Saccharomyces cerevisiae S288C: one gene and its partner. Each later gene encodes a partner of the first gene's protein in a complex. Each region holds a gene or a part of one and is shown in the gene's direction. Other genes may lie near its edges.

Evidence for each region.
Region 2: the proteins of PHO80 (region 1) and PHO85 are in contact, whole or in part, in a crystal structure (PDB 2PK9), measured with the Saccharomyces cerevisiae proteins. Residues at the interface, in NP_014642.1 of Saccharomyces cerevisiae: Asn28 (codon at 4,176), Glu91 (codon at 4,365), Cys93 (codon at 4,371), Thr131 (codon at 4,485), Lys132 (codon at 4,488), Gly133 (codon at 4,491), Leu134 (codon at 4,494), Cys135 (codon at 4,497), Asp136 (codon at 4,500), Ser137 (codon at 4,503), Phe138 (codon at 4,506), Thr140 (codon at 4,512), Asn141 (codon at 4,515), Ala142 (codon at 4,518), Cys152 (codon at 4,548), Asn156 (codon at 4,560), Glu159 (codon at 4,569), Asn160 (codon at 4,572), Leu163 (codon at 4,581), Lys164 (codon at 4,584), Asn167 (codon at 4,593), Tyr168 (codon at 4,596), Arg169 (codon at 4,599), Ile170 (codon at 4,602), Ile171 (codon at 4,605), Pro172 (codon at 4,608), Arg173 (codon at 4,611), Glu183 (codon at 4,641), Tyr206 (codon at 4,710), Lys211 (codon at 4,725); in NP_015294.1 of Saccharomyces cerevisiae: Ser42 (codon at 1,835), Glu43 (codon at 1,838), Glu44 (codon at 1,841), Gly45 (codon at 1,844), Thr46 (codon at 1,847), Pro47 (codon at 1,850), Ser48 (codon at 1,853), Ile51 (codon at 1,862), Arg52 (codon at 1,865), Ile54 (codon at 1,871), Ser55 (codon at 1,874), Leu56 (codon at 1,877), Lys58 (codon at 1,883), Glu59 (codon at 1,886), Val71 (codon at 1,922), His73 (codon at 1,928), Leu78 (codon at 1,943), Glu126 (codon at 2,087), Asn127 (codon at 2,090), Lys128 (codon at 2,093), Ile129 (codon at 2,096), Arg132 (codon at 2,105), Arg156 (codon at 2,177), Ala157 (codon at 2,180), Gly159 (codon at 2,186), Ile160 (codon at 2,189), Pro161 (codon at 2,192), Val162 (codon at 2,195), Asn163 (codon at 2,198), Thr164 (codon at 2,201).

Annotation. Positions count from the first base shown.
Region 1 is NC_001147.6:321,155-328,677, forward strand, and holds PHO80 (Pho80p), read left to right. Parts: upstream 1-4,094; coding exon 4,095-4,976; downstream 4,977-7,523. Other genes in the region: transcriptional regulator SIN3, read left to right, coding at 1-394; palmitoyltransferase PFA4, read right to left, coding at 704-1,840; IZH2 (PAQR-type receptor), read right to left, coding at 2,257-3,210; exosome nuclease subunit RRP6, read left to right, coding at 5,678-7,523. UniProt on the Saccharomyces cerevisiae protein: Cyclin partner of the cyclin-dependent kinase (CDK) PHO85. Negatively regulates the expression of phosphate-starvation-responsive genes under phosphate-rich conditions.
Region 2 is NC_001148.4:487,043-494,646, reverse strand, and holds PHO85 (cyclin-dependent serine/threonine-protein kinase PHO85), read left to right. Parts: upstream 1-1,609; coding exon 1,610-1,626; intron 1,627-1,728; coding exon 1,729-2,629; downstream 2,630-7,604. Other genes in the region: TRM44 (tRNA (uracil) methyltransferase), read right to left, coding at 1-1,104; SVL3 (Svl3p), read left to right, coding at 3,283-5,760; SRL4 (Srl4p), read left to right, coding at 6,440-7,285; YPL034W (uncharacterized protein), read right to left, coding at 7,438-7,604.

The DNA of each region.
Region 1 (7,523 bases):
TTACGATGTTTTTACCCGTAAGGCTACTAACAAATATCCTACTATTGCTAATGATAATACTCAAAAAGGAATGGTTTCTCAGAAGAAGGAGTTGATATCAAAATTTCTAGACTGTGCAGTTGGTTTGAGAAATAATTTAGATGAGGCTCAAAAATTAAGTATGCAAAAAAAATGGGAGAACCTAAAAGACAGCATAGCAAAGACGAGTGCTGGAAACCAGGGAATAGAGAGTGAAACCGAAAAAGGTAAAATTACGAAACAGGAGCAGTCGGATAATTTGGACAGCTCTACTGCAAGTGTACTGCCTGCATCCATTACTACTGTACCACAAGATGATAATATAGAAACGACTGGGAATACTGAATCTTCAGACAAGGGGGCTAAGATTCAATAAGTAGTTTTAACTAGATTTAGAACAAAAATCTTTAGTACGACAGGGTCTTTCTTCTGATGTGTACCTTTAATTAATGTCAACGATATAACATTGTAATTTTAAAATTCTAAGTGTTTTTGAAGCTTTTTAAGACACATCGATCTTTCCATAAAGGAAGAAGTGATAACATGCAGTGGTTATATTTGTGTACTCATACACTGGTGCATGAATCTTTTTACACGTCATTAGCATAGTATGTAATCGAAAGGACACTATTTATAAGGGACAGTTTATACATACATATACTTGATATTCCCATGAATGAGTATTCTATTCCATATCAACATCCACTCCAAAATCGTCTAGTGATTCACCCCAGTCGTTGTACCACTTCTCACGAGAAGCATGTCTGCCATTTTGAGGAAGTCTGGTCCTTATTAGCTGTTCGCCACTTTCATTACGCATCTCTATTGTTGAGCTGCCATGATTGAAGACGGTGTTTGTTTTACCTCCATCTGGTGGCCAGGGAAGTGAAAGGATGTGGTCTTCCAATGAGGAGTTAGCCTCATATTTTGAAATACCGTTTTTTGGAAAATTGTTCCCATCTCCCGTAGGAACACCATATGGCCATAACCATAAATGAATGGGACCAAGGTACAGTAATGCATTAGTGTACAAATCAAAATCGTAAGGGAAATTTACAAGTTCATCAAAACGTGGCCTTTTTTTTGTCAAGTGTTCCTCAGCATCCTTTTTATTTTGAAACGACCTCGACTCTGGATATATTCTCCAAGTATTATCAATTAATTTCTGAGTTAATCTTCCGGAGTTGAACAAAGATTCTAGCCGATCCATATCCCACGACTCAATTTGAGATCTTCCATTCAAGATTTGATTGAATAAACATCGTAGGAAAAGAATTGTTATCGTTAGTAGGACAAAAGAATTTAAAGGACTCGATATTGTTAAGAAAATCAGTTCTGATTTTTTGAAGAAGTAGCCAGGCAAGTGCCTTTGTTGCCAAATAAAATATATCCGCTTAGCTTGTATGCAAAATAAAACACTAGTCGTCACTATGATCCAAAATAAGAATCTAAGGAAATGCGGATAGTTTGCAAAGCCGACGCAATTCATCGTCCACGGACAATGATGATCCATCATTAGGACGCATTGATTGCAGGTTTTACAATGATGTGAACGTTCTGGCTTATAACTTTGGCACTTCTTACAGAAATTCCGCCAGATATCAGGGGGTGGTTTGTAGTTGGGCAAAGGCCTTCCTGGATTTGTGCAGATGGCCAAGTAATAGGAGAGCCATATCATTGACAAACAGAACTCAAATGTTATTTGTTTCGGAACTGACAAGAAATTGGATAAAATAAAGTAGTGTGCACCATAGCCTATAAATGAAATCAGAAACGTTGGTATAGCAATTCCTAACCAAGGCCACCTTAACTTTACTGGCATGGTTTAACGATCAACTCAGTTTTTAAAATTCATGTTATACACCATCACCACAATGTAGGGACGATAATTATCGTATCTCAGATCCGCTATTTTTCATAAGCGCGTAGTAAGAGAGGTAGGTTTAACAGGATAATAAAAATATACATGAGACAGCCAATAAATAGTGGAAATAAGCCGTATTTTAAATTGAGAGCTCTTAGTAAGAAAAATGTTCCTCTGAGACGCTAAAGTCGTGTATATTTCATATGAGAAAGTGCACAAATCCTGCTTCCCTTCTATCTGGGAATTTCTTTTCTATATTTGAACATATTATTGTAAGGGCCTTTTTCTTTATTCTCTTCTCACATATAAGAACCATTTTATTATTTTAACTTTAAAACTACTTTCTATATAAATCCTACGTTTTTTCCAAATATCTAGGAGACAATCCCGTTCTCCATCTTTATATGGACTAACTCATAACTATTTAATAAACCTCTCAAGTGGCACAATGCCGCAATAACAACTAGAAAATGGAAAAGTTGGTGAGAATGACCCCAAATATCAAATTTACCGGGGCAAATCTTTTCAGGAAACCGCATTCCATAAAGAACAGCGCCAATTATATATAGGACACCCCCAAGTAATACCCAAAAGAGCTGAATTTGGGTCCAAATTTCTGAAAAACTATAGCAGTAAAGGCCGCTGAATATTGGAATAATTGAGGATAAACCAAAACAAACAAATAGCCCAGCTCTGTAAGGTCTCCACTCTCTTTTCCGAAACTTATCTTTTAGTGACACAATACTACACGCGATCCCAAAGCTAACGGTAATAAGCGCAAATAGGCAAAATAGGGAAAATTTCTCAAAATAGCCGTAGTACAAAATACTGACCATTGACGTAACAATCAATATACAAATACCAAGGTAGTCCAACTTATTTCCTAAGGTAGCAATTCTTAAGGAGTGACTCTTTAGACAATGAAAGGAGCTACTCAATATTAAACATGCAAACGCCCCCGAATAAAAGAGGTCGATTACCATATGATCTAGCCATGTAGTTGTTGCAAACACTTTGATAGTAGATTTATCTAGCAACAGTACAGTGAAGAACCCGAGAGCAGGAATTAAATGTGAATAAATATTGACACTTTCATTATGCAAATAAAACAAACTTTTAAAAGTTTCAATGAAGCTACTAGTTTCTTTCACGTATCCATGTAAAATAAAATCATTGTCTCTTTGCCATTCCGGAATTTCATCCCAACTATATAGCCTTCTTAGTACTTTTTTAGCTTTAGCGACCTCTGCGGGATTTGCGGATGTTTTCCCTGCAGCTCTCTTCTTCAGCTCTTGCACACTCTTAGTCCTTTCTAATAAAGTTGACATTTGGAATGATTCTTCTCCAACATGCAGCATAATTAAAACGACGGGAAATTTAGTACATTTGGCTCAAGGAACGCTGACATAAATACTATTTCTAATCTACTATTCGAAGAGATGTTGGATTTCTAAAAAAAAAAGAGCTCAACAACGGAAGACCGCCTATTAACCCCGAGTGTCTGTTTTTTAGTATACTCGAAGCAAACAAGAAAAGTTTGTTACTTAATTTCTGGCCTAAACAAGGTAGTGCTACCCTAGAGGAAGTACGATATCAGTACACTTTTGTATTTTTAACGAATTATGGTATTCTTTAAAATATTTAACATGCTATCGAGTTTTTCTTTCTAAAATGCGGTTTCAAAATTTGAGTCCGCTTTCTATGGAAAATATGAATGAGGCGAACGTGCTTGTACCATAGTCAGATTTTAACCCGTAGGTGAGAGCCTGAGGCTTCTGTAAACCACCTTGGAAACACATACGGGTTATAAGATTTTAACAAACAATCAGTCTCCATACTCATCCTAGGATCTCTTCTTCATTTGATGAATAAAGGATTCAAACTTCAGAAAGTTATTCAGCGTATATTGGCTTTCCTTTAATCTAATGCCCCAAGCCATCATAAATAGCCATATTACTTTGAAAGTGCTCATCCGTATACACTGCAACTTTTCTTCTTTTCTCTTTAGCCGATTATAGCTCCTACCTGTTTTTTTTTTCTTCTTAAGATTATTTATATTCCAATTTTATCATCCGTATTGTTTCCAATAGCGTTCCAGTGATCAGTTATATACTTCGAGAGGCAGATAACCTTTCTTTTTATAAGTGTTTATCAAATTTAAGTCTGCAAGCTATCATAAGACGAGGATATCCTTTGGAGACTCATAGAAATCATGGAAAGCACATCAGGAGAACGTTCCGAAAATATACATGAGGATCAAGGGATACCAAAAGTAATTCTGCCCGCTGATTTTAATAAATGCTCTAGAACTGACCTAGTGGTGCTCATATCACGAATGTTAGTATCGCTGATAGCAATCAATGAAAATTCAGCAACAAAGAAATCTGATGACCAAATTACTTTAACACGATACCATTCTAAGATTCCTCCAAACATATCAATCTTCAACTATTTCATACGACTGACAAAGTTTTCCTCTTTAGAACATTGTGTGCTTATGACATCACTCTATTATATCGATTTATTGCAAACTGTGTATCCTGATTTTACGCTTAATTCGTTGACTGCCCATAGGTTTTTATTAACAGCCACCACAGTCGCAACAAAAGGCTTATGTGATTCGTTCTCAACAAACGCCCATTATGCAAAAGTTGGAGGAGTACGATGTCACGAATTGAATATACTGGAGAACGATTTTTTAAAGAGAGTAAACTACAGAATCATTCCGCGGGATCATAACATTACGTTATGTAGTATAGAGCAAAAACAGAAAAAGTTTGTCATAGATAAAAACGCATTAGGGTCTCTCGATTTGGATTCTTATTCTTACGTTAATCGTCCAAAAAGTGGATATAATGTTCTAGATAAATACTATCGAAGAATAGTTCAGCTGGTGGGTTCCTTTAACGCTTCACCTGATAAGAGTAGAAAGGTTGATTATGTTCTCCCGCCAAATATTGATATAGTGAGTGAAAGTGGCTCCCAAACTACTCAACTAAAGGGGTCGTCATCACCCAATTCTCACTCTTCACAAAAGCGATATTCTGAGGCAAAGGACGCACATATCTATAACAAGCGATCAAAGCCAGATTAATGATTTTTCGTGGGGTATTATGAAAGCAATCATGATTGAGCAAAATTAAAACTTTCCATTTGTACATATATATATATATATATATATATATCTGTGTGTGTATAATAAGCAATTGGCCATCATTTGGCTAAAAAGTTCAAGATTTCAGGTAGTATATAAGAGAATAACTTCCCTCTTTTGCTAAAGAAGGATATGTTCTATTTCAGCCTTTTTGCATCATAAGAGCATAAGCGACAGAAAACACTTCGAGATGAGCTTGAGAACTCCATTTCAATTAACTTGATAAATACATGTAGATTCATATCATCACTGTTCTTTTCAGATACTAGTTTCAAAACTTCCTTGACAGAACCATTTCATGTTCAATAATGAAAATTACTTTCACATGTTTTAGTGGAAAAATACTGAACAATGAAATTTCAATATCGCATATAATAATTTTTGTTATCAAATATATATTTTTCGGAAGTCATATACATTAAATAATTAAAACATTATTTTTAAAAATTAAAAAAATATATTTTAGCAAATAGTTTTTACTTTTTTTTAAATGCAAAATAAGTTCACGTGATATTATTAATAATATTTTACCCAAAAATATGAGGGCATCGGAAAATTTTTCAGTAATGAATATTAATGTTCATCTGAAGATAGACGAAATAGGAACAACAAACAGCTTATAAGCACCCAATAAGTGCGTTATGACTTCTGAAAATCCGGATGTACTTTTATCTAGGGTGATAAATGTGGTGAGAGCAGCATCATCGTTAGCCAGTCAAGATGTAGACTTTTACAAGAATTTAGACAGGGGATTTAGTAAAGATCTGAAATCAAAAGCAGACAAACTTGCGGATATGGCGAATGAAATAATCCTCTCTATTGATGAGCATCATGAATCATTTGAACTTAAAGAAGAGGACATTTCTGACTTGTGGAACAACTTTGGAAACATCATGGATAATTTGTTAGAAATGTCAGACCATTCGCTGGATAAGCTGAATTGTGCAATAAACTCAAAGTCAAGAGGTTCCGATCTTCAGTATTTAGGCGAATTTTCAGGAAAGAATTTTTCTCCCACCAAAAGAGTCGAAAAACCTCAGTTGAAATTTAAAAGTCCAATTGATAACAGCGAAAGTCATCCGTTCATACCTTTATTGAAGGAAAAACCAAATGCTTTGAAGCCACTCTCTGAGAGTTTGAGGTTGGTTGATGATGATGAAAATAACCCCAGTCACTACCCCCATCCTTATGAATATGAGATTGATCATCAAGAGTATAGTCCAGAAATTCTCCAAATTAGAGAGGAGATTCCCTCAAAATCCTGGGATGATTCGGTACCAATTTGGGTAGATACAAGTACAGAACTCGAATCAATGTTGGAGGACTTGAAAAATACGAAAGAGATTGCCGTTGATCTTGAGCATCACGATTATAGGTCATACTATGGTATTGTTTGCCTCATGCAAATTAGTACAAGGGAAAGGGATTATTTAGTTGATACTCTAAAACTTCGCGAAAATTTACATATTCTGAACGAAGTGTTTACGAACCCTTCAATTGTGAAAGTTTTTCACGGTGCATTCATGGATATTATTTGGCTTCAGCGAGATTTAGGTTTGTATGTCGTTGGTCTCTTCGATACTTACCATGCGTCTAAAGCAATCGGTCTTCCTAGACATAGTTTGGCCTATCTTTTGGAGAATTTTGCCAATTTTAAAACTTCAAAGAAATATCAGTTGGCTGACTGGCGTATAAGACCGCTTTCAAAACCCATGACGGCATATGCTAGAGCAGATACTCACTTTTTACTAAATATATATGACCAGTTGAGAAACAAACTTATCGAGTCTAATAAGTTAGCAGGTGTTCTTTATGAATCAAGAAATGTCGCAAAAAGAAGGTTTGAATATTCAAAGTACAGACCACTGACACCTTCTTCAGAAGTTTATTCTCCAATCGAAAAAGAGAGTCCTTGGAAAATATTGATGTATCAGTACAACATACCACCTGAGAGGGAAGTATTAGTAAGAGAGCTATACCAATGGAGAGATCTTATTGCAAGAAGAGACGATGAATCGCCACGATTTGTTATGCCAAACCAGTTATTGGCTGCACTTGTCGCATATACACCTACTGATGTCATAGGTGTTGTTTCTTTGACCAATGGCGTAACTGAACATGTCCGCCAGAATGCAAAACTATTAGCTAATTTGATAAGAGATGCATTACGAAACATCAAGAACACCAATGAGGAAGCTACTCCCATTCCATCTTCCGAGACCAAAGCAGACGGAATATTGTTGGAGACTATAAGTGTTCCTCAAATCCGTGATGTTATGGAAAGGTTTTCGGTGTTGTGCAACAGCAATATTTCCAAGAGCCGAGCCAAGCCTGTCACTAATTCTTCTATTCTGTTGGGTAAGATTTTACCACGTGAGGAGCATGATATTGCATATAGCAAAGACGGCTTGCCAAATAAAGTGAAGACGGAAGATATCAGGATCCGAGCACAAAATTTCAAGTCTGCCTTAGCAAACTTGGAGGATA
Region 2 (7,604 bases), on another chromosome or scaffold:
TATAACTTGCTCCTTTAACGATGATTGCACTTCAGGCGGGTAGATAGACCACGATTTGCGCTTCCTTGCATCTATGCCGAGACCTTTAATACTTTCACTCAGTAAAATATAACAAAGAGCACCATTGCCGCATCCCAAATCTCTAAATTGCATTTTTGAACGGAAGTCTGGACCGTACACTTTAATCCATAATTCAATCAGGAAAGCGGCAATGGCTATGTCTTCAAAAACATGTTTTTTTGGGTCTGTAGACTCTGCCCAATTCTCCACCAGGAACTTGGAGTATTTTTTCTTCAAAACAATGTATGTGTTCTGAAAATTGACTTTATTTACCACTTGATCGTGATTGACCCTCTTTTCATAACCCTGCATCACACCCTTTGAGTGTTTGTTAGCAGTTTGTAATAACCTATAAGCGGTTCTTACAACACGCTCAGATTCATCTGTAAAGGCAGTTTTATCCTCGGGGAAGGGAATGTAGTGTACAGAAAGAACTGACTGGTGTAACAAAATGCCTACACTTTGCGTTCTTGGAATATAAAACGGACAGTCTTTCTCAGAGTTAATGTGCGGCGTATATACAATCAATGAGGTCTCCTGAAAATTAGGGTCTTTGCTATTTAGGATTAAACATGTTTGGTTTATGATAGCATCTTTGTAAAAATTCCTAGGAATGATCCTTCTTACAAATTCATGAACGGGTGACAATTTTAAACTCTCAGATGTTTCACACGACCTTATGTTTAAATCTTCAATATTTATCTTCTTGACATCTTCTTCACCGCTTTCATTACCATTATCGATCTCAAACTTTTTTAATACGGACTCGTCAAATTTTGGCTCAGACCCAGCTTCTGCAGCATGATTGATCTCTTTCAAAATATCCGCTCTTAATATGACAGTAGAGTTAATATTTGGTTCTCTAATAACGTTCATCATTGCTTGCTCGAAGTGGGACTTTGCGAATGTTACTTTCCCATCCGTTTGGTAAAGGCTTAACCATTGAGGTCCTAGAATACTTTTATCATTCACAATAAACTTGAAGCGATCTTTGTGTTGATTTTGATTGTTTTTAGAAATATGTGCACTACCGTCGCCAGTCATTGTTGAGAGAAAGGAGAAGTATCACAAGATAGCAATATAATCGGACCAAATGCGTTGTCTATCTTGCGTAATGGAAATCGCATTTTCTAAATGATATGGTTTATTTCAAAGAATAATGTCATCGGGTTTTCCAAAATGCAAAAAATGAAATTTTTAACAATGCAGAGCAAAAAAGTGAAGAATAAGTGCACTACTAAAACCAAAAAAACAGGAAGAAGGTGCAAAAACGCAAAAAGTAGTTACCATAGTCCGTCCAGACACGTTAAATGAATTGATAGACACGGAGGGATAGACAGGCCGGATGCGCTACTTCTATCTATCCTAGACCCTTTGCTTGTCCTCTGTGTGCAGTTCATTTTCCGTACAAATCACCATACACGTAGACTCGTAAGCCCGTAGCTTTCTAATTGAAAGATAACAAAGGGAATCCAGTTTTACCATATAGCGTATAATTGCAGATAAGGGATATATAGCGCGGCAAACTGGGCAAACTTGAGCAATACCAATGTCTTCTTCTTCACAGTATGTAGTTTTCTAGTCAAGTATCATTGGAAAGTAAAGAACTAGAAATGATGAATACTAACATATATACGAGAAAAAATCAACCTCGAGCTCTATGAACAGATTTAAGCAGTTAGAAAAGCTTGGCAATGGTACGTATGCCACAGTGTACAAGGGACTGAACAAAACCACAGGGGTATATGTTGCCCTGAAAGAGGTAAAACTGGATTCAGAGGAAGGTACACCCTCTACGGCCATCCGTGAGATCTCCCTAATGAAAGAATTGAAACATGAGAACATTGTTAGACTTTATGACGTTATTCACACAGAGAACAAGTTGACTTTGGTTTTTGAATTCATGGACAACGATTTAAAGAAATACATGGATTCCCGCACCGTGGGCAACACACCAAGAGGGCTAGAACTAAACTTGGTTAAATACTTCCAGTGGCAACTACTGCAAGGGCTGGCCTTTTGCCATGAAAACAAGATTCTCCACCGTGATTTAAAACCTCAAAACCTATTAATCAACAAGAGAGGCCAGTTGAAATTGGGTGATTTCGGTCTGGCCCGTGCTTTCGGTATTCCGGTCAACACATTTTCAAGCGAAGTCGTAACGTTGTGGTACCGTGCTCCTGATGTGCTAATGGGTTCTAGGACGTACTCCACATCCATTGATATATGGTCGTGTGGGTGCATTCTTGCGGAAATGATAACGGGTAAGCCTTTGTTTCCTGGCACCAACGACGAAGAACAACTGAAATTGATCTTCGACATCATGGGCACTCCTAATGAGTCCCTATGGCCCAGTGTAACAAAGTTACCCAAATACAACCCAAATATCCAGCAACGACCACCAAGAGACCTACGTCAAGTATTGCAACCACACACCAAAGAACCGCTAGACGGGAATCTCATGGATTTCTTACACGGACTCTTGCAACTTAATCCGGATATGAGGCTGAGCGCCAAGCAGGCTCTGCATCACCCTTGGTTTGCAGAGTACTACCACCACGCTTCATAACGCAGCCCGTCAGCGAAAAACCGTAGCCATGTATATATAATGATAATAATCATCTATAATACACTACTATTACTTTAGTCTCATCTTACGACAGCCTTTACGACGGCTTTTACCGCCTTAAAGGCGGACAGGCTTTGTCTTCCGGAACGGAAAAACATGAAAATTTTTTATTTTTTTTCATTCGTTTATACCGCGAGTGAAAAAAAAAAAAAAGGAAACTGGAAACCTCTCGAATAACGATCGGTGAATGCTTCCCAAGCTGTTTTCGGTCTTCGTGTTGTGTCAAGTGAGAGAGCAGAACGTAAACGCAAACACAACGTCGGTTCTTTCCGTTGGCGTTCGTTGTTTGTTTATTCTCGTTTCTTTGAACCTGTTTGTTTATTTATTTTTAAACAGTCAATTAGTGAGAGTAACACACTTCTAATCTTGGCCTTCTTATTCGTAGCCACCCAGCTATTTTTGGTCTTGATCAGAACAAAGCAAGCAAAACCAAGAACAAACAGAAAGGGGAGAAATAGTTATCGGTTCGTTCCCTGGTTTTACTTCCTTTTTTTTTTCTTTCATTTTATAACACACAACTCCAGCAGTCTGACGCTCACCAATAAGATCAATTTCGTTTAATTGCTTTGCTCGCCCTCACACACGTTATAGTTATGTCGTCTTCCTCACTTCGAGTTTTAGCTATTGGGAACAACCCGAATATCTTGTTCTACACCTCAAGGTTTCAACTGGCCAAGAATATAGACCTCTACCACGTCAACGATTCAAAATCATGTCAATTTGAAATTGAAACTGAATACTACGGCAAAGACCGGTTCGAATTGGAAAATCATTTCACCTCTATCGAGCACTTGACTGAAGCTTTGAGCTCCAAATCAAGTGAAGCCGTCTTCGACATAATCATCATGAGTGCTCCATCTTTACAGGAATTATCCTCGTTAGCGTCCAAGTTAACGTCCATAATCGATTCGAACACCAAAATTTTCTTAGAAAGCAGTGGTTTCATCCAATTGGAACCGTTTGTCAAATTATCGATGGAATCTCCGCATGTAAACGTTTTCAGTATTTTGACTGATTTGGATATTCGTCAAATCGGTCCAAACCATTTCAAACACTTTCCTAGTACTGCAAAGGAGAACACGATTTACCTCGGCGAAAGTAAGTCCAGCACTGAGAAATATTCATCAGGCGTTATAACATTATTAACCACTTTTGAAAAACTGTTTGCTAAATTGTTTTCCAACATAAAAATCAATTTGTGCAATTTCTCATCAATTGAGTTTCTATCACAACAATGGAAGCTGGCGATTTCCAGAATTTGTTTTGATCCGTTGTTAATCATGTTTGAACAAGAAAACCCAAGTGATCTAGACCAGCAGATCATTGCCAAACCTTTAATATCAGGTCTGGTAACTGAAATCATCACTGTAGCAAAAACAATGGGAGCCAGACTAAACAGTAGTCATGATAATGAAAACTCTCTTTTATCTCTATGGAAGAATTCTTATCATTCAACCAATAAGCCACCTGCATTGGTTTATCATTTCATTCATCAAACAACGCCTTTGAACATCGATATCCTGTTGTTACAAACTATTTTATTAGCCGATGACTTTGGTATCAAAACTCCGTACTTAGAATTTTTATACTCTGTTTTGTCCCAATTTGAAAGATTGAATAGTGGCAAATCTAAATGGTTTATTAGGTCAGATGAAAAAACTCAAATCTTACAAAGCTTGCAAAAATCACAAAAAAATGAATCTGCTTTACAGACTCAAATTACCTCCTTACAAGGTCAAATTAGTAAACTAAGACAAGAGTTGCTTATGCAGGCCAAGCAACATGAAATGGAAACTAATGAGTTAAAGGAGAAACATCAAGTCGCTCTAAAAGCCCAGGCCCAAGCCCAAGCTCAAGCCCAATCTCAAGCTCAAACATCAATTGAAGCACTAACGCCAACTGAAGCAACAAACCAATCCGATACAAATGAATATAAAGCAACAGGAACTCCGAATTTGAGGGACATCGAAGATATGGCACTATATAGTGTAAACTACGGAGACTCTCCAGTGAGATCTCCACCACCTGTTGTAAGCTCTCAGCCACAAATGAACTCACCATTATCCTCACATTCACAAACTTTCGGAGAGAATAATGGCACGAATGACAAATTACTACAAGAACGCGAATTGCAACTCCGTAAAAAGGAATTAGAGCTACAAGAACGTGAACTGGAGTTCCAGAAAAGAGCATTACAGCAACAAAGATTTAATAATAGCAATAATTCAATTCCAAGAAAGCCTTCCTTCCCTCAATTACAGCAGTCTGCAAACGTTCGTTCTAACAGCAGAGGAATGCATGGCACCAATGGCGCTATGTCTCAACCTGCATCCGCCGGAAATTTTGTAGACCCAATTTCTTCAAGTATCGCTGCATATGACCCGCAACAACCTCCTTCCTTACCCCTACAGCAGCCACAACAATCGGTACAAGTACAACCTTTTCACTCACACTCTATCAAGCCCACAAGTAGGAAGAATAGAAATAGTAATATGCCTAATATTGGTAATCCTTCCAGTATAAATATGAGTGATTTTGGCAGACCACCGAACAATTCAAGTCAAACTCGCTTAAATTCCATGCCAACGCATAGCATCGTAAACCAGAATAGATTGAGATCACAACAATCGAAAAACAAACTGAATATGCCACATGCCACCAACCCAAACAATACTTTTAACCAAGTCCCTGCTCCTAGTTTAAACAATCACGTTCCCACACAAAGGCAATTTAGCTCCAGTACCATGATAGAAGTTACAAATAATAACAACAAAGTTAATAACAGTAGTAGCAACCCTGATATTTCCACCAACTCGGTAGTTCATAACGCAATGCAATTTACAAATACAAACAACAATACAAGTAGCACTGTGGATATAAACGATCCCAAAAATATTGCACCCCCTCCTACAACCTCTGTTTCAGCCCCAAGCACTCCAACCTTGTCCTCATCAAGTCAAATGGCGAATATGGCTTCGCCTAGTACCGATAATGGTGACAATGAGGAGAAAAATGGTGGTAAGAAGAAGAGATTTGGCCTATTCAAAAAAAAAAATAAATCAAAGAAATAATATCCTTCGACAGCTTAATGAACACGCATGTAAATGTTTTGTAAACAGTTTGTTTTTTCGTTTTTGTATCTGTTAATTTTCTATTATTTATTTTTTTAGTTTTTTTTTGCGGTAGAATTGGGTTATCACTGAATCTATTTTATTTTTTGGGTTGGTTTCTCCCTGTTTTCAGTTTGTTTGAATTGGTGTTTAACAAAATCTGGAATTATTCACTATAATTATTTCCTCTTTTTAGTTTGACCAAATAAACTCAACTATCTTGTGTTATTTCTTTGTATTATAGCTTTACACATATTTAACTATCCATACCTTTTACTTTTTGTATATACTGTTAATTTCATAAAACACGTTTTAGTACCAGAAAATCGTGTCATAGCACCGTTTTAGCAGTGATTTTTAAAATTGTCCAAGGTGCCAATAAATACTGGTGGGAACAACATTTTAATTAGAATAGCTAAAACCTTCTAAGAAAACTATCCCAGCGTAGAAAGAAAGAAATCTCTATCAGCCGCGCAAGTGCAGTATCTCTTATTTTTGCACGGCCCCGTCGCTATATTGTCACACGCATTTGAATTAGTGACTCAATAATAATACAGATTTGTGACGTATAAAGAAACCACAGAAAAACTGCGTATGTCCGAAGCACAGGTCCACTAGTAATAGAGCCCAAAAATCTGACATGAAGAAAACAATTTACAAAGTCCTCGTAAGTTTTTATCAATATGTCGGTTTAGGTAAAAAGTTCCATCCTAGCCACGATACAGTATTAATTATTGGCGGTTCTTCAAATGAGTTAGGCATCGAGCTCTGCGAGACATTTATAGAAGATTATCATACAAAGGTTATAAATATTGACACTATAGACAGTATTAATGGAAAAAACGCAAGGAGAAGTGAAAAACTGTATACTTTTATTTCTTGCAAAGATTTCAGTGACATAAAATGTCTTGAGGAATCCATGCTTTACCTTCAAAATTTAGAAATAATTCCTACAGTGCTCATTAACAACATGCAGGAGGGAATCGAATCGACTCTTCTCAAAGAAGACAAATTTTTGAGACTTGATGAAGAGTCTTTAAATGAATTCGAGAAAATCGTGAGGTATAATTTACAAAGTGTAATATTGATAACTAAGTTCTGCTTGAGTAACATTTTTCCAAAGGTTCAAGCTGAAGCTCAAGAAAAAGCAAAGGGGTTCTATATTGTCAACATATCATCGGTATTGACGTTAAAACCGTGCAAATCAGGAACACATTTTATTACATCGAAATGTGGTATAAACTCTTTCCACGATGGAATAACCTCAGAGCTTAAATTGAAAGATAGTAATTTGAATGTAAAAACGCTGATTGCATATTTACCCAGTTTTGAAAGTGAAGCACATTGGAAGAGACTTTCCCCGAGTATCTCGAAACATCTCGTCCACTGTCTACTTGAGGGAAGATATGGTGATACAATTCTCGAAAGCAAAAGATCAATTGGTGATATTCTTTTGATAACTGGTTTCAAAAGCTCTTTTACTTAAGGGTACTACAAATCGAAGTAACAGTGATAAAATTGCTAAGCACATATATTTCTATAAATAATTCAAGGAAAAGAAAGGTAACACTACAATTTTTATGATGATAAATAATTTGAATAAACCGGCCAGAATAGGCCAAAAAATTTTTTTTAAGTCTAACGAGATTCTCCTCCAAGGCAATAAGAATCAATAAGTCTTAGTACTGATGGTAGCTCCAATACAGGCACATTGAACCACTCTGTATGCCTCTTTTTTCCAGTTGGATCACACCCATAACAGTAAACCAATCCTTTCCCGTATTTCTTCCATAAAAATTTATGAA